Ovis aries: one gene and its partners. The protein of the gene in region 5 interacts with the protein of the main gene of each other region in a pairwise test. Links are inferred from orthologs where the notes say so. Each region holds a gene or a part of one and is shown on either strand. Other genes may lie near its edges.

Region 1 (3,954 bases), on a different chromosome or scaffold from region 5:
GGAAATAAAAATCTGTACAAGTTTAGTGGGGGCAATTTGATAGTATTTCATTAAGAAAACACAAACACATATTTTGATCCAGCAGTCCTACTTCAAGAAATGGATCTCACAGTTATCTTAGTAAGCTATGTGCAAATATGCAGGAAGAGTAATAGATATTGTATGATTGTCTCTAAGAGCTAAAAATGAGGATATCTAAATGTCCGTTAATAGAGAAGCGATTAAACAAATTATAATATGTCTATAAAATAAGGTCCTAGGCATCCCTTGAGAGAATGAGGTAGAACCCTCAGATACATTAAAAAAGAAAGAAGGTATAGGAGATATACATAATAGAGCTCCAACAGCATAAAAAATACAGTGTGTCCACATCTATACGTAATGTATATACTTATATATGTAATCAAACAGTCTGGAAGACACATAAACTTGGGAGTGGGATTGGGTGAGGGTAAGAGGGGGCTGAGACTTTCATTTCACAATTTTTATTTTCCTGCACAGTTTTAACTTTTTTTTTACTAGCTAAAGATGAATATAATTTTAATCAAAAGTCTGTACATCCTGTAGAAAACCCACGATGAGAAAACTCTGAAAGAAACAGCTGTACTATCAGTGATCTGGTCGGTGTCTTTCTGACTTAATCCAAGTGGCATTTGAAGGCAATTCATAAGAACTTTGTGCATTTCCCATTGGGGTGCTAAAAATCAAAGCAGTAGGTGAGGAAATCCATATTCTAGTCTACACTAGCAAGGCATTTCTTTAAAAAAGTATTATATTTGAATAGACATTCTGATACCATCTTTTAACATAATTTAGGGTTTCGAGTATGGGTAGGGCTGCTGCTGCTGAGTCGCTTCAGTTGTGTCTGACTCTGTGCGACCCCATGGATGGCAGCCCACCAGGCTCCCCCGTCCCTGGGATTCTCTAGGCAAGAACACTGGAGTGGGTTGCCATTTCCTTCTCCAATGGGTAGGCCTAGCTAGTGAAAAATATTTCACTATGAACAACCGCAATCAATAGTTTAGAATTCTAGCCAGTTCTTCTAATATGCAAAAAGTACCTACCTTTTATATCCTAGTTTTCTGAGGGATGAGGGAAATGTTTTCATTGCAAAAGAGGTCTGGTGATATAAATGTGTATAACTTGATGCATTAAAAAGTATAAAGCCTGAGAGAAAAGTCAGCCTGCAGTCTGCGGTACACTACGGTACAAATTTTGAGATAAAAATATAAAGTTTTTCCACATTATATGCTCTGTTTTAGCAATGGTTGCATGGAACACTTTCCCACTGGGCTTGTATAGGTGTCAGCTTGTACTCACCTGTCAGGCTGTCTGGCCTAGGTGGAACCATCCTCTCGTAAATTTCATACTGCTGCTGTCCGAATTGTTCCATGTCGTGAACAGTCCTTTGCAGTGAAGGTCCCAGATGCTGTGGTACGGCAGTCATCCCTGAGCGTTTGGGGGACGATGACCCCACCTGGCCTTGGGATGGGGAAGCTACTCGAGTCTGTGCATCCGTCAGCGTCAGTGGGGACCCCACTCTGGTGGTGGTTTGGTACTGAGGGGTTGGTCCGTTGGGATTGGAGGTCTGCCGGGAGGTGACCGACCCAATCCGACGTACGGCTGATGGGGAGGCAGGTCTCTGTGCAGAGTATGGAGAAGCTGCCCGCTGAGCAGGTAATGTGGTGGAGGAGTATGCACTGGGGTTCAGTGGCCGGGAGTCAGTCACAGAGGGGGAGCCAAATCCACTACCCAGAGAAGTTCTCAGTGACCCCCTTGAAGGAGACACGCCTGTGCTGATAACATAAGAAGGAGACTGTGCTCTAGATGGAACTGAACTAACTCTTCTCATGGCCCGATTGGCCACTGATGGCTGATGGAAGGGGGAGAAAAGAGAATGGTTTATCCAGGGTTGTGTATCCATGGTCATTACAGAAAAGCATGCACACAGCTAACTACAGAAGGTGAACTCACTATTTCAGGCGTTTCCTTTCCTTTTGAGCTGTAGAGCTGAATCTTAATTTTTCCTTATTCTGTTTTTCTTGTTCTACTTTTTTTTGGTTTTTGGTGATTTAATCTCCACCTTTCCCTTTCAGAATACTAAAACCAACCAGTAAGGAGAGATTCAAAGACATTTAATATTCCTTTTACTTTTGTCTTTATTTGATGTTACCCTCTGCCCATGCACTTTTCACAACACATAGTATGTTGTATCTCAAGTGTGACAGGTCACTGGAATAGTGTACTTACTTTGTACCCTGTAAATCTAAGTTTGGCTAACGTAACCCATTTGTGTAAAACAAAACATTTTCAATACGTTAAGTTAGAGCAGTATCTATAATTGTCTTTGTATCTGTCTTTATGAGTTGACCTCATTTGCAAAAGGAAGGTAAGTGGAATAAGTGAACATTTGGATAGGGTCTGGGGTCCAAAGGTCTCCTCTGTGAGCACTGTACAAGTGCTCTAGCCAAATCTGTCTTTTCTTTTAGCTTCAATGTGGCTGCTAGTGATTTCAGCCATTTCTTTCTATCTCCTTTGATTTATAGGCTCTTGTCTTAAGCTGGTGGATTGAAAGACATACGAATAATCAGCCCTCAAATCTGTTGCAGCAGGAGGGATGCTCAAAATCTCCACTGGGTTCTGGCCAGCTGGGAAAGAAGGAACATTTCTGCCATGGCCAGTCCTATGAGTCCACAGACTCTTGCAAATATTGCATCTCAGATCCCTGTCTTCATGCAGGATGACAATAAAAAGGAATAGTGGCTGGACTGGGGTGTTGGGTTACAAGCTCAGAACTGAGCTTTCTGTATTTCCTTAGTGATGACTAGAGTTCACTTGTCATCAACCTCCTGTTACTTTTAATTGGGGCAATAAAGGAAGAAACAGGGATGACTCAAGGACTTTGTGTATTCTTAGATGCTATAAGAGGAGATATGCTCTGTCTCCATGTATCACAAGCAACTGGTTGCCTGAAACACGGGTCTGAAACCACTCAGGTGCTCAAACTCAAGAATTCTGTGAAGGCAATAGCCATGGAAAGGAGGAGGTCTGGGGAGGGAAGGGGACTGTAAATAAACAATAAGGCAAGAAAGAGGTGGTTTAAAAATTAGTAGGCGGTTGGAAAATTAAAATCTGTGCTTGGGGTTTATTAATAGTACTAAAGGTAATTTTAAAAGTCCCACATATAAGTTGTTTACTATCAAAAAAGGATGACACTTGGCTCAGATGTCTACAATCTGTGTTTCCCAGAATACATGCAAATTTAAACACCCCCTTGCAACTTCCAGGAACAAAATCAACTTACCTAAGATAAAAAAAAAAAAATTAAAAAGTCAACATGACCACCTTAGGGGCAAAATAGAAAATCTTTGTAATTATTATTCAGAAGTGTGACTTTAGACCTGCCGACATAGAGACTGACCTAAGCAGGTGAACATCTGTAAACATTGAGTGTAAAGCTTGTCAAACCATTCCCTCAGTGCATCCCGAACAGCAGAGGAGTAAATGTATTATCTGAGGAATGGGGAGTGGGTGTTGCAGCTAGAAGCAGTTTGCTATGGGCACAAGACTTCCTGTCCTAGCTTAAAAATTCATGCACCATATTTGTGTTTGTCTTAATACAGAAATGTTTCTTAATACTTAAAAGTTTCCCTTAAATTGTTGAGCTAAAGTTGTATTGTATTTCTCCTTTGGCACTGGAGAAATTGGCCCACTGCTGTGTGTACCTTCAGGGCTTCCTGTATTGCATTAAGAGATTAGTGTTAGACTAACTTCTTTGATCATCGTGCCATTTTTCAGCTCCAGAGAAATCACTGGGGCACTTGGCCAGAAAGTCATCCTTACTGGTTACTGCCGCTTGGGACTCCTATAACTTCTACTAATTTTGGCATATGCTGGAAGACTGCATGAATAAAGTGGCAATGAGTGAGGAGCTAAGGAGTTTTCATAAATATA
Region 2 (4,646 bases), on a different chromosome or scaffold from region 5:
TCCGGTTAAAAGACCATCTCTCCATTCAGATTCTCCAGAGAGAAAGCAAAGGCAAAGGTCTATGCAACCGCCTATTTGTAGGTACGATGGAAAGTGAACCTGTGGTGAGGACAGAATGTGTTTCCTCTAAAATGATCCTCATCAACATTCCCAACATGGTGCAGGGAGATCCCCCCCCCCCCCCCATATATTTTCGATTCTGTTCCTCTTCACACTAGGAGCAGGGTAAACAATTCACAAAGAGCTTTGCAAGAAACTGCTCCCTCTCGTTTCTAGTAAAGATCTGTTGTTGTTTTGAGAGAAAAAGAATCTACTTTGCCAAACATATTCTCCGAATCAGTTTTTCCCTTCATTGTGGAGATGCTTAAATCCTGACCTAAGAAGGATTCTCTTACAAATCTACCCATCAGGACTGTCAGTTCGGGTGGTTTCCACAAGGGATTTTCCAAAAGGGAATCTCTGTTCAACTGGAAACTGAAACTCACCATTAGCTGGACAAAAATCAAAAGCAATATTAGGGAACACTCTGAATATAAGAATGGATATCCAAGGAAATAAAATGCCAAAATTTAGTTCAAGAATTAAAAGAATTTACTAAGCAAGATCAACAGGGCAAATTTACCATTACTTAATAATTGATAATTAACTATACAGTTCTTTATAAATCAACATAAAATAAGCTGATTTCCAAAAATAGAAGAAATCAAGGCTAAGAGTATCAAGAACTCTGTGAGTCAAAGTCATTTTGCTTAGCAACACTTTAAAAGCCAAAAATGATCAAGTTACATTCCAGTAATTAAAAGTTATTTCTAATTTAAAATGAATTCATTCCCATAATGAATCACTACTTTAATATACGCTTTCTTCTACGACAGAACTGAAGCAGGAGCTCTGTATAGCCTTCCCAGGTGTGTCGGTGGTAAAGAATCCGCCCACCAGTGCAGCAGAGGCAGGTGAGAGAGCCCTGGGTCAGAAGATGCCCTGGGGGGAGGAAACGGCAACCCACTCCAGTATTCTTGTCTGGAGAATTCCACGGATTGGACTCTGGAGTCTGATGGACTAAAGTCCGCTGGGTCACAAAGAGCTGGACACAACTGAGCACGTATAAAGTCTCATTCCACCTTTTTAAGGGCAGATTTTCCCAAATGGGTAAGGTCTTTCCCTCAAACGACTGCTTGTTTTCTGTACTGCAGATTCTTTGAGTGAACTTTTTCCTACCTTAATGATGGTAGCTGTCCTTTTCACTGGCATTTATTTTGTTTCTAGACATTTATCTTCCTAGAGTGGGTAAAATCACAACAATCCACTTAGGAACTAACTGTTCTAAATCCTAAAGCTTCTGCAAAAGTCCACTATTTGTTTCTCTACTATACTTCATGACAATAATTATGAAGCAACAAACCTAACAAAAGCCTCAATGCAACACTTCCTAGGAGTGAAGGTATCTAATTAAACAGGCAGTAACAAACCTCAAACTTTCCTCTATTCCAAGTTTAAGAACCCTATCAATGATTCATTCACACAGCGAGTGACCTAACTTCCTCAATGAATCACACTTTCTGAAATTCTTATTCTACATGAGTATAATAGTCATCATCTCTACATGTGTTGAACACAGCATGAAGTTGGTTAAACTAAGTTAATTCTGTAAGACCTTCAAACCACAGCAACCTCAAGTTCCTGCCAAGTAACTTATCTGCAACACTTTGCCTTTTCCAACAATTGCACCTCTCCAAACAGATGCATCCCCAAAATAAACATTTAATCTTGAAACACTTATTTTAAACACTAATTAAGACCTGATTCATCCACACCCTGCCCTCCATCTCTCTGGTTCCACTACCGCATCCCCATTCTCCTCCCATTGTGATGCCGTGAAAAAGTAATGGACACTGTTATCCTCACACTTATCCTTCAATCAATGAACCTACACTACACTTTTTCTTTTTAGGGCATAAGTGCTGAGTCATTAAATGGAAACTCTAAGAAAAAAGAGCTACAAGCAGTTTAAGTTTAGGATCCCATTATTTCCCTGGCCAGGTCTCCACAGCCTGATATTTGTATATCCCACGGTAGAAAAACCAAAGCAAACACTTGAACTTTTTTTCCCCTCCCCGTCGAAGAAAGAACAAGAGATGGGTTTCCTTAGGTCCTTTGGCTTCCAGCAACATACCCACGGGCACGAGAAGCAGGCCCGGCTGGAGCTATATAACTTAACAATCTGGGTGTGAATAACGCCTGGCCGTAGTCAAGCATTAACCCTGACACTCCTAACAAGCGCTTGTTCTGCTCCTGCTTCATTCAGTTCGGGTCAAGGAGGAAGGGGAAAAAAAAAAAAAATCTCATACAAGCTCTACGCCCTCCACCAGCCTGACACCTTTCCCCGGGTGGCCGGCCGGGGACAGACCGAGGGAGTGGAGAGGGAGGAGGAGCCCTAGCACCCAAAGAGCAGAGACAGCGGCCCGAGTTCATTTCTCCCACAATGGAAGTATCGCCGTCCCCGCTCGCGGATCGAGGCTGCGCGTTCGAGACCCGGCGTGATGCCCGAGGACGCCGCAGGCAGGGGGCGACCTCGACCCCGGGGCCCGCTGGAGGGGGCCTGGCCCCCAGCAGAGGTCGGCGGCAGCGCGGACTTCGCCGAGCTGCAGAGGCCGGGAAGCGCGGGCCCCGCTCCCCGCCAAGGCTGGCGGGAGGAGCGGCCCTTACCTGTGTTCGGGCGCGGGCTGTGGCTGCGGGCGCCGCCGGGAAGGGCCGGAGCGCGGCTCGCCGACCGGGAGCCTGCCGGAGCTAAGGGCGAGGGGCGCGGAAGGTAGACTCGGTCCCAGGTCCCCGGCCAGGCGGGCCGGGCAGGACGCGGCGGCTCCCGGCGCCTACGGCCGGTCAGTCAGTCACGCCGGTGTCCCCTCGGCGCCGCGGCTGAGACAGCGGGAACCGGCCCCCGGGAGGAGCCGCAGCCCGAGCGGCGGGCGGCGGAGGCGGAGGAGGGGCGGGGCCACAGGGTCGGCGACCCGCTCACCCGGAAGTACTTGTGGTCGCGGCGGCGCGCGCTGCGCGACGGGCTTAACCCCCCGCGGCCGGCTGCGTGCCGCCGCAGAAGAGAGTGGGGACCCCGAGTAGGGTGGTGGCTGGGGCGGCCTCCTGAGGTGGTTCCTCCAGGTCCGCGCGGTCCACCCCGCCCCTCCGCCCCCAGGACGGGGGTCGGGAATGTGAACTGATGCGCGTGCCCGTTGGCGGCTACCCCTGCCTCGGTCACCTCTAAACTGTCCGGCCTAGAGGGCTTGGGTGAGTGGGCCGGGGCGGCAGTTCTAACCGTTGGAACGTAGGTGGGTGGGTGCGGCCGAAGCGCTGGAAGCTTTATTTCCAAAATGAATGATTTTGAAATGATTTCCGGTGAAGAATGCTGGGGGCGGGGCTGGGGGGAAAAGAGTCCGTTCAATATCTGATGGATTCGGAGCTGTCATTCAGTCCGAGAGTCTCAGTCGAGATCCACCGGCTTCAGGGCCCTGGAGAAAGACCAGAGGTCCTGCTCTTTGGGAAGCTCATCTTCTAGTGGGGTGGACGGATTTAAGCAAATAAGGTAATGACAGATTGCGGTGAGACTCCGCAGGTGATACACAAAGTGATGAGAGATCCTGTAGGCGAGACCTCTGGCAGGAGAAGACCTCCAGAGGGAAGTGGCAGTTGGGCAGCCTCCTGAGAAGAAGGCACAAAACACTTCGATACAACTTTACATCCGGGACAGTAGTAGGTTCCAGGACCCGCTGAATAAGCCCATGATTCCATGTTAAGAGCCTGGCTCGAATACCTTCTAAGGGCTGTTTGTGTGCTGCCCACCCCTGCGATTTCAGAAGGCTTGCTCACCTTTCAGAGTTCATGAGGGCTGGAGTGTGGCACTGCGAGGGAGGCGTGGATTACGGAACTGTGGTCTTTAGGCAGAGAGACACCAACAGGTGGCTTCATGGCAGGAGGATTCTCATACCATCAGCCTTGGAAAGACAAAGTCTCTAACCTCGCGCTCTTTCTCTTTCCATGTCGCTGTTTTTCTCAGACCTGTGAACAAATATTGAAACTTGTTTTTACCTGGGATCAAGAGGGGCTTAATGTCCCCAAAAGATCACACTATGTTACGATCTGAATAAAAGGATTAATTACGTGTTTTGCTAACTCAGTTAAACTAAAAAGCAGACTTGCAAGAGAGAACCTATTCAGGTACCTGAATAATACCAATAATCCAATAATGTTTATTAAGTATTAGTTTATATGACTGCATAATTAATGGAAAGACTGTTTGGAATGATATTAGGATTGGAAGGGACTTCCGTGGTGGTCCAGTGCTTAAGACTCCGTGCTCCCAATGCAGGGGATCTGGGGTTCAGATCCATGGTTGGGGAACTATTAACAGATCCCACATGCCACAACTAAAACATCAGGCATATAACAATAACAAGGAAAAAGATCCTTCCAGCCACAGCTAAGACCTGGTGCAGCCAAATAAATACTACAAATACGTGTGTGGGTGTGTGTGCTCACACAGTATTGGCACAACATTCTACTAAACTCTTAAATATATTATCCCTTTCAGTACTAGGACCAACCTTGAGATATGGGAATTACTATACCCATTTTAGTAGCAAAGTCATTGAGAT
Region 3 (3,954 bases), on a different chromosome or scaffold from region 5:
AGGTTGTTCAAAGGGGAGTAACCTCCCCTTCATGCCACAGTCACATGACCTCCCCCAGGCACTGTGCTCCTTAGCAGATGCGTCTTAGTTGGGTTATGCCTGTGGCCCCACTGGGAACCCTTTCTCCCGGACACAGACTCCTGCTTCCACAGTCCATTTTCTGGAAGCAGCAGGTCTTAGCCCAGGTGCCATAACAAAAATCTTAGACGTGGTGACTTCAAGGGAAAAATTTGTTTGTCACAGTTCTGAAGCCCTGGGCTTGGAGATGGCTACCTTTTCAGTGTAGCCTCCTGTGGTGGAGGGAGAGAGAGTAAGAGCCTTTTGGTATCATCTTAGAAGGATATCCATCCTAATCAGAGCAAAGCCCCACTTCAGTAACCTCACTGAACCACAGTTACTTCCTTAGAGACCTCATCTTTCACATATAGTCACGTTAGGGGTTAGGCCTTCACCAGATGAATTTTGGGGGGCTGAGGGCAGGAGACACAATCTGCACCGTGTGATAGAGTTCGGGGGCTGTTCCTTTAAGAATTAAAAATTAAATTTCTAAGTGTCAAAACTGAATGGATTTTGGTTTCCTATATCTGACTTTAGTTCCCAAATTCAGATTTTGTCTTACTTAGCCCCATGTTTGTTCCTTTGCTTCTTCCCCATTCCCCAGAGGCTGCCTAACCCAGGAGAAGATTGTGGCTGGCAATGCCAATCGATTCATTGTGATTGCCGATTTCAGGTACGATGTTCAGTGTTTCTGAACTGTCCACTGAGGAGGTGCCTCAGACGCCAGCCCGCATTTTATGGAGGAGAAAAAGAGCTTGGAGGGAGGGGCACTCCTTCCTGTGACTCAGGAGAGTGCCTTGGACAATTATGTTCTGCTTTGGTGCTGAAGGAAGATACTGCTATTTCTTGTGTCCGCTTGAAAGAGGAAACAGATGTCACACTCGTTAACAGAGCATGTCCTTATTGATCACTCATTCGCTCCATTTGCTCCCTGCAAGGCGTCTCGGAGGAAGCGGGTCAAGCCTGCCCCTGGGCACCCCTGCCTCCCCTGTGCCACATGTGACTTGTGTTGTGGACAGTCTTTGACCAGGCTCTCAGAGTCTACTAGAAGGCACTTATGCTGAGCATGTTAATTAAAAAAAAATTACAGCTGTAGGAAGAGCATAAATGATTATGTTCCTCACACCTGTTTAACCACAAGTCAGTCATATCCAGGTTTTAATATTTTTGTCATATTTACTTCACATACTTTTTTTAAAAACAGTAGAGCACAGCCAGTCTGTTTGAAGCCCTGTACACTTGGCCCTGCCCTCTCACCTCGTTAGTAACTCCATGCCTGAATTTGGCATGTCTGTACCACTGAGCTTATTGACATCTGTTGTACTTCTGACTCTTTTCTTTCCAGGAAAGATTCAAAGAACCTCGGGGATCAGTGGCACAAGGGCATCCCCATTGAGGTCATCCCTATGGCCTATGTCCCAGTGAGCCGAACTGTGACCCAGAAGTTTGGGGGCGTGATTGAACTTCGGATGGCCGTCAACAAGGCAGTGAGTGGCTGGAAGGTTTCTGGGAGGTGTCCCAGGCTCTCAGGGCCTGTCCTCCTGCTTCCGTTAGGTCCTTTATACCCAGACTGGGCAGGTGGCTCCTGTGGATTATTTATCGGCTGCACTGTGTCTTCATTGCTGCTCAAGGGCTTTCTTTAGTGTTGGCGAGTCAGGGCTACTCGAGACGCGTGGGCTTCTCGTTGTGGTGGCTTCTCTTGTTGCAGAGCACAGGCTCTAAGTGCGTGGGCTTCAGTAGTTGCAGCACACGGGCTCAGTAGCTGTGGCACATGGGCTTGGTTGCCATGCGGCATGTGGAATCTTTGCAGGCCAGGGATAGAACCCTTGTCCCCTGCATTGGCAGGAAGATTCTTAATCCACTGTGCCACCATGGAAGTTCTGTTTATTTTTAATCAGCCTATTGGCTTATTTTCAGAGCACTGGCTATATCAGTTTCCATATTCAAACTCATGTAGACAAGACTATACTTAACACACTGTATATTCCCTGTACAAATGGGCACATTTTCTGTCCCTTGGAATCTGATGCTCCTCGGGTGATCTGATCTTTGTACCTGGATCTCTCTAACAGCTGCTAAAAATGGGTTTGGGGAGTCCCTCCTGGGGCAGAGAGTTATTCAGGTTTTGTGGTATGATTTTCTTTTTTCCTCTTTTCTCATCCTGTGGTTAAATGAAGTAGAGTTCCTTGGGGGGATGTAAGCTCCTCCCCAGAAATACACTCCAGATACTTAGTCCAAACACTTCACTTCAGCTTCTAAAGTGGGTTGAACAGAAATTTTTTTCTTACACTTAAACAAGCAGAAGTAATAATTCAAAAATTAACTATAGTTGCAGACAGAACTATATATAAAAAGTTTGAAACATACAGGAGAGAAAGCAACTTATCTGTAACTCTTCCCTGATGAACTTTTATTTTATTTTAATGTATTTTCTTCCTGGCGTTTTGTGACTTTTTAAAAAACCAGTCTTAATCATAGTTGTTACACTGAGCTCCAACTCTGGCTCCCTGAGTAGCTGAGGATTCGAGAAGAAATTGTCAGGGTTCTTTCTCAGAGCTGGGGTTCCTCCACACGAGAGCCCAGCATCTTGCTTTTGTGTGTTCTTTCTGGGCTCCCACTCCCCCATTTTGCAGAGCAGTCTTTGTGTTCTGGCAACATTTGTGGTCCTATATGCTTTCTAGTGCCCAAAGCTGCTGTGTGATACTGGGTTAATTAACTAAAAGTACCCCCAGCCGCTGTGACCCCAGGACCCCTCACTGCTCCATCTTTTTGTTGGGTCTACCTGATCTGGGGGGAAAGCTGTCTCACGTTGCATCACTGATGGTTCTCAGTGTAAAGCTCTGGGAGCACTGAGCCATACTGGTTGTCTGTTCTCTTGCTGTAGTTTCTCACTCTAATGATGGCTAAGCATCACTGTGCCCTCACTGTGGTAAATGCTTACCCATGTGGTTTATGCATGAGCTGCCAAAGGAGGTAGGTTTCATTATCCCTTTCTTGCCATAGAGGAATCTGAGGCTCACAAAGCAAAATGGCCCCTGTGAGATATCTGCCTCAGTGGCTTCAGGACTCCTGCTCATGACTGCTTCATAGCACTGCCTTCTAGTAATAGAAAGCATGAGGTGGGAGTACTGGTTGGAGTGGGTTGCTTGATACTTGTCCTTGGTTATCACCTCCACTCTCCTGCCCCCTCTGCCTGCCTGAATCTGTATCATCTCGTCATTGTGGGCAATTATCTTCTAGGGTCCTGTGGTGACGGATAATGGGAACTTCATCCTGGACTGGAAGTTTGACCGGGTCCACAAATGGAGTGACGTGAACATAGCCATCAAAATGATCCCAGGTAACATATATTCTTGAGTGTAGACACCCAGGCTCTTCATAGCCGTCCCCTGCCTCTGGCCATGGGAAGCACAGTGGCTTTGGCTTTGAGACTTGTGTGGGAAGAATTTGCTTTATAACATGTTTGGAATTTCTAACTTTGCCTTTGCCTTTTCCTCCTGAAAACAGTTACTGCTCACTTAGCAGCTTTGTTAGTTGGCATTTCACAACCCGTTTCAATTGGGGCAGGCATGGGGCCGATGGTGTGTCAGGGGGCTTGCCTTGAAATAAACGCACTCTCTCTGCAAAGAGCTTGACTGTCACCTCTTTGATTCTGGCCTGTTCTCTGGAGAAGAATGACTCAGTTCGCCCACGCTTGTTAGATTCCTGCGAGGTGCTGGAGGTGCTGTGCCCTGTGTTACAGGGAGTTCTTCTTCCAGGTCGCCGTTGATAATCTGGAAGAATCAGCCCTAGCGATAATGCAAACGCAGGGGGCCCTGTGGGCAGGAGTACTTGCAGTGCCCACCAGGGGGCTCTGGTGCACCTGCTCAGACCTTTCGAGGCTAACTGAGGCACTGA
Region 4 (3,954 bases), on a different chromosome or scaffold from region 5:
CTTTCCCGGCATCAGGGTCTTTTCAAATGAGTCAGTTCTTCATATCAGGTGGCCAAAGTATTGGAGTTTCAGCTTCAACATCAGTCCTTCCAATGAACATTCAGGACTGATCTCCTTTAGAATGGTTGGATCTCCTCGCAGTCCAAGGGACTCTCAAGAGTCTTCTCCAACACCACAGTTCAAAAGCATCAATTCTTCAGCACTCAGCTTTCTTCACAGTCCAACTCTCACATCCATACATGACCACAGGAAAAACCATAGCCTTGACTAGACGGACCTTGCTGGCAAAGTAACGTCTCTGCTTTTGAATATGCTATCTAGGTTGGTCATAACTTTTCTTCCAAGGAATAAGCATCTTTTAATTTCATGGCTGCAATCACCATCTGCAGTGATTTTGGAGCCCCCAAAAATAAAGTCTGACACTGTTTCCCCATCTATTTCCCATGAAGTGATGGGACCGGATGCTATGATCTTAGTTTTCTGAGTGTTGAGCTTTAAGCCAACTTTTTCACTTTCCTCTTTCACTTTCATCAAGAGGCTTCTGAGTTCCTCTTCACTTTCTGCCATAAGGGTGGTATCATCTGCATATCTGAGGTTGTTGATGTTTCTCCCACCTTTCTTGATTCCAGCTTGTAACTCATCCAGCCTGGCATTTCTCATGATGTGCTCAGCATATAGGTTAAACAAACAGGGTGATAGCAGACAGCCCTGTGGTACTCCTTTCTCGATCCTGACCCAATCAGTTTTTCCAAACAGGTTTCTAACTGTTGCTTCTTGACCCACATACAGCTTTCTCAGGAGAGAGGTAAGATGGTCTGGTATTCCCGTCTCTTTAAGAGTTTTCCAGTTTGTTGTGATCCACACAATCAAAGGCTTTAGTGTAGTGGATGAAACAGAGGTAGATGTCTTCTGGAATTCCCTAGTTTTCTCTATGATCCAGCGAATGTTGGCAATTTGATCTCTGGTTCCTCTTCCTTTTCTAAACCCAGCTTGGACATTTGGAATTTCTTGGTTCTCATAATGCTGAAACCTAGCATGCAAGATTTTAAGCATGATCTTACTAGCATGGGAGTCACTGAATCAAACTGTCCGACTCACAAAGAGTTGGACAAGACTGGGTGACTAAACAACAACAACAAAATAAAATCTAATTTGTAATGCTAGTTAAGTTGGTATTTTCTTATAATTGAGAATACTAGTAAAACTGTTCACTTTTGCTAAAGGACATTATCTGATTGTCAAATAGAAGAGAATCCATTTTTTTGTGCTGGGTCTGGGTCTGGTTGCCACGTGTGGGCTTTCTCTAGCTGTGGTAAATGGGCCACTCCTTCATCATGCTGTGCAAGCTTCTCACTGAGGGAGCTTCTCTCGTTGCGGAGCACAGGCTCTAGCCAGGCTTCAGTAGCTGTGGCTCTTGGGCTCTACAGCCTGGGCTCAGTAGGTGTGGTGCTCGGGCTTAGTTGCTGCACAGCATGTGGAATCTTCCCAGACCACAGACCAAACCTGTGTCCCCTGCATTGGCAGGTGAATTCTTATCCACTGCGCCACCAGGGAAGTCCTCTTTTTTTTTATTCTCCTATTATTATTACCCAAAAGTAATCTGAATTTCTCACTCTTTATTTTTGTTTCCCCCCTTGAATGCCAATCTTTTTAACACTATAGCTATTACTACTATTTAGATAAGCAATATTGATGCCACATTGAGCAGTAAAAAGAAATAATCTCTGCTTTGCTCTTTTCTCCATTGCTTTTCTGGCCCCAAGGATTTCAAAAATCAAAGGCTAGTCAAGAAGTATAAAGAATCCACTTTGACTAAATATGAGGAATGTAAAGGTCATTTAACAGTTCCCCAAATCATTTCTAAAAAGCATATATAGTCTCAAAAATCACATTTGGTAATGGTAATACAATCCTTCTACACAAATTGGAAGTCAAATAGCCATAAATTATTTAAAAGTGGGCACCCTCTATAGCCCAACTCAGTTGAGAGCACAGCAGGAGGGCGGTTTCTCTGTTGCTCCACAGCACACTTCTACCCTGAAGATGTATATTGGAGGAATAAGCTGTTGGTCACACCCCTTCTCCCTCATTTTAACATCACAGGGGAGCTCTGACATGCATAAAGGACACATGGAGGACACAAAGACGTGGGATATAATCCAATAAAAATAACCATGCCCTGCCCATCCTTTCTAAAAGGATAAAAGATGATCAGCAAAAAGAGTCTTGAGCAGAAAACAGAAGGGATGTAAACATTAGTAAAGACAACTTTTTTCTCCTGCTACCAAAATGGTAAGTTCAAAGCACCACACAAGACCAAAATGAGGTATGGGAAAATAATTCCTTTGAGTTATTCAGGCCTAATTTTAGTCTAGGCCTTAAGCTAAAAAGGATAAGGCAGAAAAGTATTCTTACATTTATGTACAGTCTATCCCACTTTTCCAGACAACCTGGGCTAGAAGCTTTGGCCAGCAAAAAACCATATGCATACAGCACAAACATGGAAAAATAAAGGATATTTGTATTAAACACTTATCATGTAAGGGCAGTCTTCCAAGAACTTCACATGAATTAACTCATTTGACCCTCAAAACATAAAGAATCTATTTCACACATTAAGAAAATTGAGGTACGGAGAAGTATAACTTGCCCAAAGTTGCACAGCTGTCAGACTTGGAAACCAAGCTCAAGCAGTCTAGCCCCATCTTCTACTTTCTTTACCATGATACCATCGTGTTTATTCCTCAAAGAATCCAAAATCTGGGAAACATTACACAGGAATTTGATAATTCAGAATCCTACAGAGACTCAACTAACCCAGGTTGATTAGTATGAATTCCACTCAATATCATCAATTCTTTGGATGTCAAATATCATACTACAAGTTCTGCATATTCATTAGGCAAAATACCATCATATCTCACCCAAAGTAAATACAGACCAGTTAAAATTATCCTTTTCTCACAGGAGAGGCTAATGAGGGCTGTAGTTGTCTTAATGGTACTGTTCTTCAAACGATGCCCTTCATCACAAATTAGAAGATCAAATTTTACACTCTTAATTTGATCCAGGGAACGAAGTAACATTTCATAACTGATGATAAGAACAGAATAAAATGGAGATTTGGTGAATTCTTCTATTTTGTGGTCCTTAAAAAAAAAAAAAAGGGTAACCTTTAACAAATCATGGGCAAAAACTATGTGAAATTAAATAAAACCAGCATACTCCTGAAAACCATTATCTAGGTATTAGAATATATTAACTCATAACGAAATTGTAAGGCAAGATTCCATCTATCAGAAAAAAAGAGAACTACATACACTTGAAAAACTGCTAGATAGACAGTGAAAGCTGCAGCACTGATTTGAAAAGCCAGAGATTTAGCAAATGACCAAATCTAAATGTTCAAAAGTCTCTTACCTGATCAACAGTAAATATCTTGATCCTTTCGATTCCTAGCCATTTTTGGAATTCTTTCCTCCAATTATTCACCAAGCTTCCGGGTGTGACAATAAGTGTCTTCTTTACTACTGGCCTGCCTCCATAGGGTCCCTGACACTGTAGGGTCCAGATAAGCGAAATACATTGCAGTGTTTTCCCTAAACCCATTTCATCGGCAAGAATAGCTCCGCATCTGCCATTCACCCTGTTAGAAATAATTATATTTCCTTCAACTACAAAATGAAAATATTTTATGCCCCTAACATCATCACCTATTAGTCAAAAACCAGAAGCTGATATTTTGTAATTAGGATGAATTCTAGCCTCCACTAAACATATTTTCTAGCTCTTTATTCAGCTGATTTATGACATTTTGCATCTGTGCCAATTATATTCATTATATATTTACTGTCAACTAAATTACTAAAACAAATTGAAATTATAGTTGAATCTAAATCTGTTACTATAATGATTCCATATTTAGAAACTAGAAATAAATGCCAATTTCATATC
Region 5 (3,584 bases):
CAGACCAGTGATGTGTCAGGTTTATTTCATCCCAGGTTGTTGGGAAGGGCTCCTAGCCTGGGCTCTCTGACCTTGGTGTTCTGTAAGCTTGCGCACTTGGAGTGGTTTGCACATAGCATTTTTCATCCGTACACATTTCCTGAGCACCCATGATGTGTCGGCATCCTCTGGTTTTGTAGTAAGAGGCGGAGCCAGCGCACTGAAGGATCAGGTAAAACCTGACAACTGGACGCCATGAGAGAACCGTGAGGATGCGATGCCATTTCACTGGGGAGCTCGGTGACGTGAGACATGAGCTCGGTGCCTGCAGGTTTTTGCTGTGGCAAGAAGTTGTCCACTTTTGGTGGCAGTTAAGATTTCTCACCTATAATATTAATAGATTATAGGAAAATGTGGCCCCTTCCTGTGTTTCATTTGTACTAGAAACTTCAGGAAGAATGTTTCTAAACCGATGAGAAAGATCAGCGATATATGAAAGAAAATTACAAAAATTGCTTTCATTTCATTACATTTTTCCTGCATTTTACATAGCTATGCTTGTTCTTGAAAATGTTTTGTTTTTGAAGCCAGCTCATGCCCGCTGGGACAGTGCCTTGTGTGTGTGATGGAGGCTTATTAATAAACGTGTGAAAAAGTAATTGACTGATACAGGATTGTGGCTTAGTCGGTAAAGGAGCTGCCTACAATGCAAGAGATGCAGGTTCGATCCCTGGGTGGGGAAGATCCCCCGGAGGAGGAAATGGCAACCCACTCCAGTATTCTTGCCTGGACAATCCCATGGACATGGACAGAGAAATCTGTCAGGGTACAGTCCATGGGGTTACAAGAATCAGACACGACTTAGTGACCAACCACAGGATGTATACAAATACCATTGTAAGGAAAACAATATTTGAAAGAAGCCTTTTATGGTTCACATGTGAAGACTTCCTTCTAAAAAGCAGGCAGCCCACAGCTCTGATGGACCTTCATGCCAATGAGTTCAAGTTTCAGGAGCTGCCTGTGGCCCCTGCTTCCTAACTTGCCAGCCCTAGCTTCATGCATAGTTGATCTGTCCTCTGCTCCTAAGGGACAGAAGGTTATAGGTCAGGAGGCCTGATGGCAGTGGCTCCCAAAACCCCCAATGGGGCCTGTGTGTGCTGGGCAGGCCGGGGCTTTGCTTCTGGGCAGTAGCGGGGCTGTGCAGCTGGACAGACTCACGCGGGGCCTCTTCCTTCTAGATACGGCGTGGAGATCGGCTCTTCCACCAGCATTACGGGGCCCAGCATCCCTGCCCGGACTCGGGAGGTGCTGGTCAGCCACTTGGCCTCTTACAACATGTGGGCCCTGCAGGGTGCGTGGTGTTTCCTGTGGGCCATGGAGGGTGGGCATGATGGGCATGGTGTGCAGAGCCCAAGGTTACCAGAGCACTGGGTTGGCGGGGGAGACGCTGTCACCTGGTTCATGGACTGGCAGGCTCACCCCTCCCAGGAGGACGTGGCTGTCTCCTCTTCAGGAGCCTCCATTCCAGTCCCCCTGTCCCGGCTATAGTCACGGGGGTGGAGCGCTCCCTCTGACGGGCAGAGCCAGGTCTGGTACCTTCCCAGGCAGGGGCAGAGGAGGGACTCCTGAGGAGAGCAGAGGCTCCTGAGAATGTGGAGGGGCTGGCACCCCACCTGGCGGCTCCCTGCACACAGCAGGACCCCGGGGCCAACCTGGCTGTGTCCCCGTAGGGATTGAGTTTGTGGTGACCCAGCTCAAGTCCCTGGTGCTGACCTTGGGGCTGATGGACCTGCACCTGACGGTGGAGCAGGCTGTCCTACTGTCGCGCCTGGAGGAGGAGTACCAGGTGAGGCGGAGCTGGAGCCCCACTGTGGTGGAGGCTCCGGGTGGCCCCCCAGGTGCCCTGGGGCCGCCTGTGTGCTCACGGAGGCTAAGCCTGGACACGCAGACAGGCACCCTGGGTCACCGAGGCTGCTTCGAGTCCATGTCTGATGTAGTGGCTCAGAATGAACAAGGCTTGGCTGCTCTGCCGTTGGCATTTTTTTAACTCAGAATCACCATGTTCTCTGCAGTTCCCTTGTTACTTCTCCAGCCTCAGAAGGTTAATTGCTATTACAAATTGACTCCTAGCATGATGAAAAGCCTTTTGTAATGACAGTTTTTCCCAAGTTGGTCTAGTTATCTGCTTGGAAAAATGTCAGGGGGAGAAGCTGGTTTGTGTCACGAGAGAGCTGGCAACTCTGGTGTCAGGGCCAGCTGGGTGGGAGCGGGGGCGGGCAGCAGGAGCAGGAAGCCTGGCTTCTGGTCTGGGCTCTGTCCTTGGCTGCAGGACCCAAGCGGGGCCGTTGTTCCTTGAACCTCACTTTCTCCCTGACAAACAGTTCTCTGAGTATAAAACGCTCTTCAGATGTTGTGGACACCCAGAATGCAGGCAGGTCCCAAGTGTGAGGGTGGGCAGGCCAGGCCTCCACTCTCACCTGCCGCTCCCCTACATGCCTCCTCCCCTCAGCCATGGCGGGTCATGGCTTTGGCAGTCACTCTGCAGCCTGTCCCGTCCTCTCCTCAGATCCAGAAGTGGGGCAACATCGAGTGGGCCCACGACTACGAGCTGCAGGAGCTGCGGGCGCGCACGGCCGCCGGCACCCTATTCGTGCATCTCTGCTCCGAGAGCACAGCCATCAAGCACAAGCTGCTGCAGGGGTGACGCCGGCCCTCAGCCTGAGATGGAGATGCTGTGGCCAGTGGAGGCTGGTTTGGGCTGAGCCAGAGCGCGGGTACCAGTGACTGGTTATACTGAACGTTTCTCCGCCTGGAAGTGAGAGGAGCTGCCACTCATCTTGTTCCTACTGTCATGTCTGGGTCCCGGAGGCCACCCCGCTGACCTGCAGGACACTTGTTACCCACCAGGACTTTCTTGTCTGGGAGGTATTAGTGGCCCTCAACCTTTTTTTCCCCCTGGTTTTTAATCAAACTTTTAAAGTGAAGCTGTCTGTTTCTGTTGTTTCCTACTGTTTTAGCAAAGTGATTTACTTTTGAAAACAGAAAACAATCTTTTTTGTTCCTGGGTTAAAAGCCTGGGCAAGGTCACCTGACACGCACACATCCTGTTCAAGGAGCCACTGCAGGGCCCTGGCACAGAGGGGTCTCAGGTGCCTGGGCCCAAGTGAGGGAGCGGGAGGAGTCTGCAAGATTCGGGCACAAAGGCTCCAGAGCCACCCAGCCTTGCTCACCTGCCTCCCCTCCCCAGCACTGTCCCCACACCCTGAGTGTGCTGGGAAGAGGTGCTTGTCACCTCCCCACCTCACAGATAACACCAGCTGCACTCTCAGCTCTGGAGGGTCCTTGGGTCCTCACAGCCTCCACCTTGGAAAGCCAGCTGGGCCCCTGAGGAAGGGCCTGCCCTGGACAAGAAGGGGCAGCCAACAGCCTAGGAGCCACTCTAAGCAGTCACCAGCTGCTCAGATGCAGACACAAAGAGGATGGAGAAAGCTGACAGAAGTGTTTTATTTCTCTACCTGTGGAGTGGGGGTCAGCCCTAGTCCAGGAGGTCCCCACACTCCAGGCTGTCCAGCTCGCTCTGCACGTGGTCGATGTACTGGTTG
Region 6 (3,954 bases), on a different chromosome or scaffold from region 5:
AACTCAATGGCATGCACTTGATGCTGAGAGCACATGGTCTTCTCATGCGGTTTATCAGCTAGAGGCACTCTCCTGTGCTTTGCTAGTGTCTTCGTAGAATGAGTAACTTGGGAACACTCTGAGCACAAGTGAGTTGCACATACAGTGCAATATACAGATGCAACATGAGCTTCATCTTCATCACAACGAATGATGCTCTGATAAACAAAAAAGTAATGTATTAAAACTAAACCCCTTTATTAAACAGAAACTGACTGAGACCCAGAAAACAAACTTATGGTTACCAAAGGAGATACCAAGGGAGAGGGAGGAGAAATAAATTACACATTACTATATATAAAATAGGTAAACATCAAGGACCTACTGTACAACACAGGGAACTATACTCAGTATCTTATAACAATTTATAATGGAAAAGAATCTGAAAAAGAATATGTGTGTGTGTTTGTGTATAACCAAACCATGTTGATGTATGCTTGAAACTAACATAATATTATAAAGTAACTATACTTTGATTTTAAAAAAATTTTTTAAACTAAACCCCAATCATTATAACATGCCAAATTTTGAAATATAAAAGCCCATAATCTTTATATATATAAAAATAAACTGATCATTAAATACAAAGGTCATTCACTACTCACGTCTATAGGTAAGTGAAAGCTATTTCCAAAACTGATCATCAATATATGCTACGAATTTGAGGCCAAAAATAAAACCATTATTTTAGATTCACTGTCAGTGCAAAGGTATCTACTGCAAAATCCCCTCACTTTATACACAAGAAACGAACAATAGAGGATAGAAGTCTGTGTTTTTTAAGACTGAAAGAACTGATAGTAAATACTTCCCCCCTGCTTTAAATATACTTGTCAGCATAATGTATAGAAAAAGAGAAGCACAAATTTTATTACTTAGATAACCAAGTGAAGCTTTTAAAAAGATGCTTGGACTCCAACCTGAGAAATACCCATTGCTCAATAGGTGTAGATGAAGTCCAGGCTGTGTATTTTTTCTAAAACTCCATAGCTGAGTCCACTGCACTATCCTGGTTGAAAATCATTAAATTTAAGAAAAAAATAAAATAAATAAAATAAAAATGTTACATGTAACCTTATAAATGTTTATTATTTTTATGAATTAGTTAAAAAGCATTCTGAGTTGTCAATTTTACATGTCAGATAATCAAGAATGCTTCAAAAACTTTTTCTAAATACTAAAAGGCCATAACTGGAAAGGGAAAGATTTGGTATAAATTTCTGTAGAAATAAAAATTAGAAAATATATCAATGGTATCATTCAGTATCACAGTAAATAAAAAATGAACCCAAAGTTAAACAACTTTGCTTACAACTATGAAAAATGCCTATGTATAAAATTAAAAAGTCATGTCTTCTGCTTTCTAGAGCTGACAAATTTGTAAGATCAATGTTAGATAATCCTCAATGTCTTTCAAACTAAAGGTAAAAGATAAATCATGGGAAAGAACTGCAAAATTTTTAGAAAACAGTGCTTCAGTTTGAGATTACTTTCATTGATTCACTTCATATAGGAAATCATGGTCTAATAAAAGAGAAGTAAAAAGTCAATCTGACATTTTCCTTGATACTAAACATGTGGTTTTCAAGGTGTTCATTAAAATTATTAACTATTTACTGAACAACTATTCCTATATTCAAAACAGTCTATGAGTTATATAGACAAATTTTATGCTAAAAATGTGTATTTTAACTTGTGTTAATGGCCTTCTAATAATTATTGGACACTAACCTGTCTGGATAAAGAGAGTACATCTACATACAATTTAACTTTTCATGAAGATATTTAATAGTAATTCCCTCAGGAGCTATGGCTACCTGTAAGGCATTTTGTTTCTACGCTAAAAGGTCCCTTTCATGGAGTTCCTCTTTCTTTCTCTGTGCTTTAACTGTTGAATGATTCACTTTTGCATCCTCTGCTTTAAAGTAGGCTACATATCCTTCGTATTCATCCATAATCTTACTCTTCCACTTTACCCTTATGTAGAACTAATGATGATAAGGAAACAAGTTCATACAAAAAACAGAGTTTGCATATATTTTCAGAGAATTCAAGCTTCAGTTTTGCTTTTCTTCAGTTGGGGATTCTGTTGCCTTCAGAACTACAATGTAATGAAAAGTTGTGTCTCTGGCATCCTACTTCATAGGGCAAGTGAAGGTAATATTGTGCATATAATGGCAAATATTTTAAATTTAACAAATATTTCAACAGTTCAATCGATACCTCTCCAGATATCCCAATGGCTTCTTCTGCAGCTCCATACTGACCAGTATGTCCATTCTGTAGTCTTTCCAGAAGCTCCAATAAAGCAAAGTTTTTCTTCAGTCCCCAGACACCTGAATCTCCTAGAATATAAACATATAAACTAAATATAACAAAATGGAATATTATTTATTTTACCCCATATCCTGATAGTAATTTCAATGTCTCACAGTTCAATCATTAATGTTTAAATTTTCAAAATTCAAAATTCCTCCACTTCCTATTAATGATATAACAGCAATATTAATATTCTCCTTAAAACACAGAACTCCTTAGCATTCTAAGCAGAAACATTTTTTCTTTTCTTATTCTTTTTCTATAATTTAACTTCAATATAATTTATAATTTATAAATTCTATTTCCTCACTTTTACTATATATCCAAAAAAAGTGCTTTAAATATTTTTTTTTGCTTTAAATATTTTTAACAGCAACCTACAGTAAGAAATATATTTTACATTGCAACCCAGTATAATTAATACACACACACACACACCCACACACCACTGAAACAGAAGATTTACAAACCAAAATTCACCCTCGCAGTGTGCAACAAACTGATTGGTTTTATCCTATTTCTTTTTAAAAAATATTATTCACAGACAGTTAAACTGATTTTATGACCACAAATATGGTCATAAAATATGATGCATGTTTGAAAATCACAGTATGAAAGAAAGATACACTTAACCTAAAATAAATCCATCTCTAAACTGGAACTACAGCAGCTAAAGACATTTCCCCATATCTCATCTAACCTAGAACCCTAAGGGCAATCAATAAATATATAAACTCCTTCCCACACACATACACAGAGTTTCACACTAAAGTCTGACGATACTCCCTTTTAGGTAGATAAGACTTTAGGGCACATCTGAATGAGGACCAATGCCTCTTTTCCCCAGAACTGACCATAAAAGGCCAGGTGAACAAGCATATGTGCATCCATACGTGGCCACACACATGAGCACACATAAACACAAACTCTTCCTAAGACTATAAATAAAAGACAGATCCTCTGGAAATTAGAAGGAATATCTGTTACGCTGAGCTTCTATACAACAAATACCATCTGACACAAAGCTGCCACCTAATACATACTCATTGAAAAAACAAAAGAATGATGAAGTCAATGGTTACAAGGCTTCCGTCCTTCTTGGCCCCTCTTTTCTAAGGGAGGAAAGGAAGGAAGAAAAAAAGGAAGGAAGAAGGAAAGCTGAAGAAAAGGTAAGGAAAAAAGCCATTTCTAGTTATGGTTCTTCAAAAAAATATTTTTAACTAGGCTAAATATCTTTACCCTCCTCTCTGATTTCTGTGACCTCCTTTCCCAAGTATCTATATGCAGCCCCTACCCAGCATTTCCCCCCTGTCTTGCCATCCTAGCAAGGCTTTCTGAACTGATTTAATTTTTCACACATATTCTACATCAAACTGGGTTCTATCCACTTTGTTTATAAAAAATTAAGAAGTACACTAAGTCCTTTATTTAAAAGTATTATCTTGACAGTATCCAAATACTTTAATTATATATTAAACACAAACACATAAACTCCCAGTAGTATTTAAACAGTATCTATCTAGTGCCTAAGATATCATTTAATTTTTCTGTGACTATCAAAATAAATCAATATCTCAATGACTTAAAACAACAAAG
Region 7 (3,954 bases), on a different chromosome or scaffold from region 5:
TCACTAGTTTAACATCTTTTCTTTGATTATATTAACTTTCTAGTCACTCGCCCAATAAATAATTTGCTTACATTCTATATAGAAGATAAAAAATTAGCACACTCAGGAAGCAAAACCAAAATATGTAATGTAGTAATTGATGGGCAATTAACAGATTAAATAGGACTTGTTTAATAACTTTCTTCTTTTAAAAGATACAACTGATAAAATTTTTGTGAATATATCTTTAAGCTGTATATGTAAAAGTCATATTTCCATCAGTCATTTATTCATTTTCTCTTCCTCTCCATTATTTAACTTATTTTCTATTTCTGCTAAAACAATCCTGTACTGACATCTGAATTAGATTATTTAGGATAAAAGTGACTCTCAACTTCATTTTCATAGATTTCTTAAAGTGGAACACAAGAACAAATACAGAGGACATTTTTTCAGGTATACATCACTGGAAAACACAGGATGTTTTGATATTTTTATCCAATCCTTTTCATTAATGCTTAAAGTGCATTTGTTTACTGTGTAAATTTTAAGAAGCTGGAATGAATTTTCCAGGCTGAAACTTGGATTGTTCACAGAATTTTTTAGCACCAGACATTCCAAAGTGCCTTACACATATTTTCTATGTAAGGCATAAACTTAGATGATAGATATTATTGTAAGCACTGTTTTACAGATGAGGAAATTAATACACAAAGAGGACAATAAATCTGACCACAGTCACACAATGAGTAGGTAGCAGAAACAAGATTCAAATTCATGCAATTCAGAATTTGAGCACAGAATGTATAACCCAACTCTTAGTAACTATTGCACAAATTTTGTTATCTTATTAGTATTTATGTTTGTTTTCATTTATACCATATGACATGCTTCAAAAACAGTAAATTTACATTTTTAAAATCAAAGTCAGCAGCTTGAAATTTTCACTGATTGAGACTTGTCATAATGGAATGTTTTCATAAATTATCTACCTTTTCCAGTTATTCAATATCATTTACATGTCCACATATAAAAGCATAAGATAGATACTTGCATTTTTATTTTATAATGCAATTAACTGTGTATATTTTGTTTTAAGGCAAACAAAAACAATGCAACAGTTCATAAGCCATTGGCCACCAGTACGACACTTTCTGTTTAGAAAACTTTTATCCTTTTGTTTCTTGGGATAAATATTCACTTTCTAATCAGATAGTTGGAACACAAAGGAAGCAAATAGATGATGGCCTATTAAGCCTTAAGCCTTAAGATGTCATCTTCAGACTCAATAAGTCACTAAACACAGAGAGAAAGAGAGAAGAGAATGGTCACGATGTAGTTCTGCCATCATATTTTTTTGTTTTTCATTACTACATCCTTAAATTGTTCCATAACACGCTTCAGTTTTTATAAACGGTTGCTCCCGTCTTCAGCTTCTACAGGCTCTATCATAGTAATTATAAACTGGTGGCAAAAAGAACAGCAAGTATTACATCTTTGAGATGAAAAATCCCTGTAACTTTGAATTACCTATAGTTGGTGCTGCAGCATAATTATATCAGCAGTGTAACAATTAAACCTTTATATTTATAATACTTCTGAAATCTTGGATTCTTTTCCTCTAAAAGTGCTCTCTTTTGTGTCTTATATCACATCTTTGTAATTACCTATGAGTTTTAGGCCTGTGTTTTCCATTGTGGTGTCTTTCCACATTTGAAGGGGAATATAGTTGCCACCAGGGAAAATGGCTAATCAAGTCTGCTTTTGATTATGTGGATACTCACTCTGGCCCTGTCCTTTCCAACAGACCATGAGTCCCCTAGGAGTTACTCGGCCACACTGACTGATCTTGGAAGGACCGCACCCAGGGAAAGAAGAGGAACTCCAGAAAAAGAGGTAGTCTGCTTAGTGGCACTTGAGTCTTTTTCAACAATATACTTGAGAAAGCATTTGCCAGCTGAAGTTAGTGTAAAACCAGTTAAGAGCCCTGATTAAAAACATTAAAGTGTTGATGGAGAAACTAGAAATTAGTTTTCCCTGGAGACCAAGCAAAAGATTTGAAGCCACGGCATTCTAACCTGAGCAGCACGTCTCCCCCAGTTGTAGTCCAGTTTTGAGAGTGACTCTCTGAGTCTTAACCTGACCTATAGATTAATAGCTTTGTCTGAAACAGTCTTGAGCTGGGCCACCCCTTGGAGGAAGAAAGCTTTCCCTATCGAGATTTCTGGCCCAGCGATGAAGGGGACAGTCCTATCAGCTGTGCTGCAAATCAATACAGATTCCATGGAAATAATTTTTGCTGCCCTGCTCTTTTGGGGGAGGATCCCTGAAAAAAACCCCGCTGTTTCTGGGAACCCCCAGCCTGCTGGCTCTTGTCCGTGGTCCTGAGCCAGGACTGATGGTCTGGCTTGTACTATCTTGGAGCCATGAAGGTTTGATAAAACCAGAAGGCTAGTCCTGGACTGTCAGCCACTCCAGAAAGTTCTCTACCAGTGTCTAACACAGTCCAATGCCTGTGGATCCAGGATCCAAAGCCAGGAATGATCCAGGATGCCCAAAGTCCACCAGAGTCTCAGGGAAAGAGCAGTGAGAGGATGATTGGCATCAGAAAGGAAGAGCTCAGGTATGTAGCTACAGGTGCGCCAGGCAGATCTGTGGGCCCCAGAGCTCGAGTGTGGGCTCGTGTCAAATCTGGTCAGGACTCAAAGATGAGCAGCTGGTTTACTGGGTGCTGAAGAGTTCCTGAACTCCCCAGGGAATACAAAATGACCAAATCCATGCTTTTGGCCACTAACTAGCCTCTCCATGATAACTAGGCTATATTTCTTTGCTACTATGTTAACAAGTGTTTGGTAAAAGGAGTAATGACTTCCTTCGTGACTTTTTCCAGTCCTTTAATTATGGCTCAGAAGCTGTGTCAATACTTAGGACACAGAACAATTGATCTTCCACAGTTATCCCAGGAAAAGCCAAAATTATACATAGGACCAAATCCTCTGCAGACATTTTATTCCCCTTTCATGGCATACATTTACCTTAGTCCCTAAGATGAAATGTGATATTCAACAATTATGGTGAATAGGTCATCTGTTATAGTTTAACTATCTAAAAAGAACCAATTGATTTGCTTATAAATTGCATATATGATTTACATTGTATATGTTTAATCAATCCTTCAAGTTTCATTTCTCTTTAATTCATATGAAACTGATTTTTTAATAGGAAATCCAAAATTTTAAGTTAGCATCAACCATTTCCTTCCTTTTCAGAAACTGCCTGCAAAAGCTGTTTACGATTTTAAGGCTCAGACATCCAAGTAAGTATAAGCATTCATCATATGATTTAAGTTGACTTTACATACATAAATAATACATTAAAAGACAAATATTGCACTGTGATGTTTTACAAATAAGACCTAGTTCCCAATTCAGCAATCAACTCTAATTAAGCGGTTCCTTTTGAATTAATTGGGATGTGGGCGTAATTTTATTTTCATATTGAGTTTCATTGAGAAACATTGAGTTTTAAATTACACTAAATATGTTTGAGCACAATGAGTTCAAAAGGATACGAAAAACAAAACGAAATTAGGTTTGTTTCTAGAATTTTCATGTCAAGAGTGAAGTAAAAATAAAGTGTTGGGGAGTAATTAACACTTAGAGAATTTGATAACATTTATTTATCCAACTATATCAAGGATAGTTTGTGGTTAAAGACTATAACTGTGTACAAAAACTCCAATAGTAAAAATCACCATTTCTCAATACTCAGAGCTTAAAGACTCTGAGTACATTTTTATCCTGTGCCATTTTTTTTTTTCAAGAGGTTAACATTTTATCTATTTATTTGGCCACAGTGAGGGTCATGTGGGATCTTAGTTCCTCAACCAAGGATCCAACCTTTCACCCTCCACAGTGGAAGCATGGAGATGGAGTCTTAACCACTGGACTCCCAGGGAATTCCCTATTCTGTGGT

Evidence for each region.
Region 1: the proteins of ATPAF2 (region 5) and PKP4 interact in binary tests that used the Homo sapiens proteins (3 or more experiments, as listed by UniProt). The two-hybrid records come from large-scale screens. The link is inferred for Ovis aries from reciprocal best matches to the Homo sapiens genes ATPAF2 and PKP4.
Region 2: the proteins of ATPAF2 (region 5) and LRRFIP2 interact in binary tests that used the Homo sapiens proteins (3 or more experiments, as listed by UniProt). The two-hybrid records come from large-scale screens. The link is inferred for Ovis aries from reciprocal best matches to the Homo sapiens genes ATPAF2 and LRRFIP2.
Region 3: the proteins of ATPAF2 (region 5) and RPIA interact in binary tests that used the Homo sapiens proteins (3 or more experiments, as listed by UniProt). The two-hybrid records come from large-scale screens. The link is inferred for Ovis aries from reciprocal best matches to the Homo sapiens genes ATPAF2 and RPIA.
Region 4: the proteins of ATPAF2 (region 5) and RAD54B interact in a two-hybrid assay, tested with the Homo sapiens proteins (2 studies listed by BioGRID). The two-hybrid records come from large-scale screens. The link is inferred for Ovis aries from reciprocal best matches to the Homo sapiens genes ATPAF2 and RAD54B.
Region 6: the proteins of ATPAF2 (region 5) and TRIM23 interact in binary tests that used the Homo sapiens proteins (3 or more experiments, as listed by UniProt). The two-hybrid records come from large-scale screens. The link is inferred for Ovis aries from reciprocal best matches to the Homo sapiens genes ATPAF2 and TRIM23.
Region 7: the proteins of ATPAF2 (region 5) and SORBS2 interact in binary tests that used the Homo sapiens proteins (3 or more experiments, as listed by UniProt). The two-hybrid records come from large-scale screens. The link is inferred for Ovis aries from reciprocal best matches to the Homo sapiens genes ATPAF2 and SORBS2.

The regions. Positions count from the first base shown.
Region 1 is NC_056055.1:151,057,008-151,060,961, forward strand, and holds part of PKP4 (plakophilin-4), read right to left. Parts: intron 2,893-3,954; exon of another isoform or gene 2,547-2,892; intron 1,874-2,546; coding exon 1,321-1,873; intron 1-1,320. UniProt on the Homo sapiens protein: Plays a role as a regulator of Rho activity during cytokinesis. May play a role in junctional plaques.
Region 2 is NC_056072.1:10,384,112-10,388,757, reverse strand, and holds the start of LRRFIP2 (leucine-rich repeat flightless-interacting protein 2), read right to left. Parts: upstream 2,941-4,646; 5' UTR 2,707-2,940; intron 1-2,706. UniProt on the Homo sapiens protein: May function as activator of the canonical Wnt signaling pathway, in association with DVL3, upstream of CTNNB1/beta-catenin.
Region 3 is NC_056056.1:59,395,834-59,399,787, forward strand, and holds part of RPIA (ribose-5-phosphate isomerase), read left to right. Parts: intron 1-661; coding exon 662-730; intron 731-1,402; coding exon 1,403-1,544; intron 1,545-3,297; coding exon 3,298-3,397; intron 3,398-3,954. UniProt on the Homo sapiens protein: Catalyzes the reversible conversion of ribose-5-phosphate to ribulose 5-phosphate and participates in the first step of the non-oxidative branch of the pentose phosphate pathway.
Region 4 is NC_056062.1:82,849,002-82,852,955, reverse strand, and holds part of RAD54B (DNA repair and recombination protein RAD54B), read right to left. Parts: intron 3,647-3,954; coding exon 3,421-3,646; intron 3,150-3,420; coding exon 2,942-3,149; intron 1-2,941. UniProt on the Homo sapiens protein: Involved in DNA repair and mitotic recombination. May play an active role in recombination processes in concert with other members of the RAD52 epistasis group.
Region 5 is NC_056064.1:34,281,611-34,285,194, forward strand, and holds the end of ATPAF2 (ATP synthase mitochondrial F1 complex assembly factor 2), read left to right. Parts: intron 1-1,220; coding exon 1,221-1,333; intron 1,334-1,712; coding exon 1,713-1,828; intron 1,829-2,548; coding exon 2,549-2,686; coding exon of another isoform or gene 2,687-2,766; 3' UTR 2,767-2,966; downstream 2,967-3,584. Other genes in the region: DRC3 (dynein regulatory complex subunit 3), read right to left, coding at 3,518-3,584. UniProt on the Homo sapiens protein: Plays a role in the assembly of the F1 component of the mitochondrial ATP synthase (ATPase).
Region 6 is NC_056069.1:14,060,439-14,064,392, reverse strand, and holds part of TRIM23 (E3 ubiquitin-protein ligase TRIM23), read right to left. Parts: intron 2,385-3,954; coding exon 2,263-2,384; intron 198-2,262; coding exon 1-197.
Region 7 is NC_056079.1:15,017,055-15,021,008, reverse strand, and holds part of SORBS2 (sorbin and SH3 domain-containing protein 2), read left to right. Parts: intron 1-1,786; coding exon 1,787-1,875; intron 1,876-3,248; coding exon 3,249-3,295; intron 3,296-3,954. UniProt on the Homo sapiens protein: Adapter protein that plays a role in the assembling of signaling complexes, being a link between ABL kinases and actin cytoskeleton. Can form complex with ABL1 and CBL, thus promoting ubiquitination and degradation of ABL1.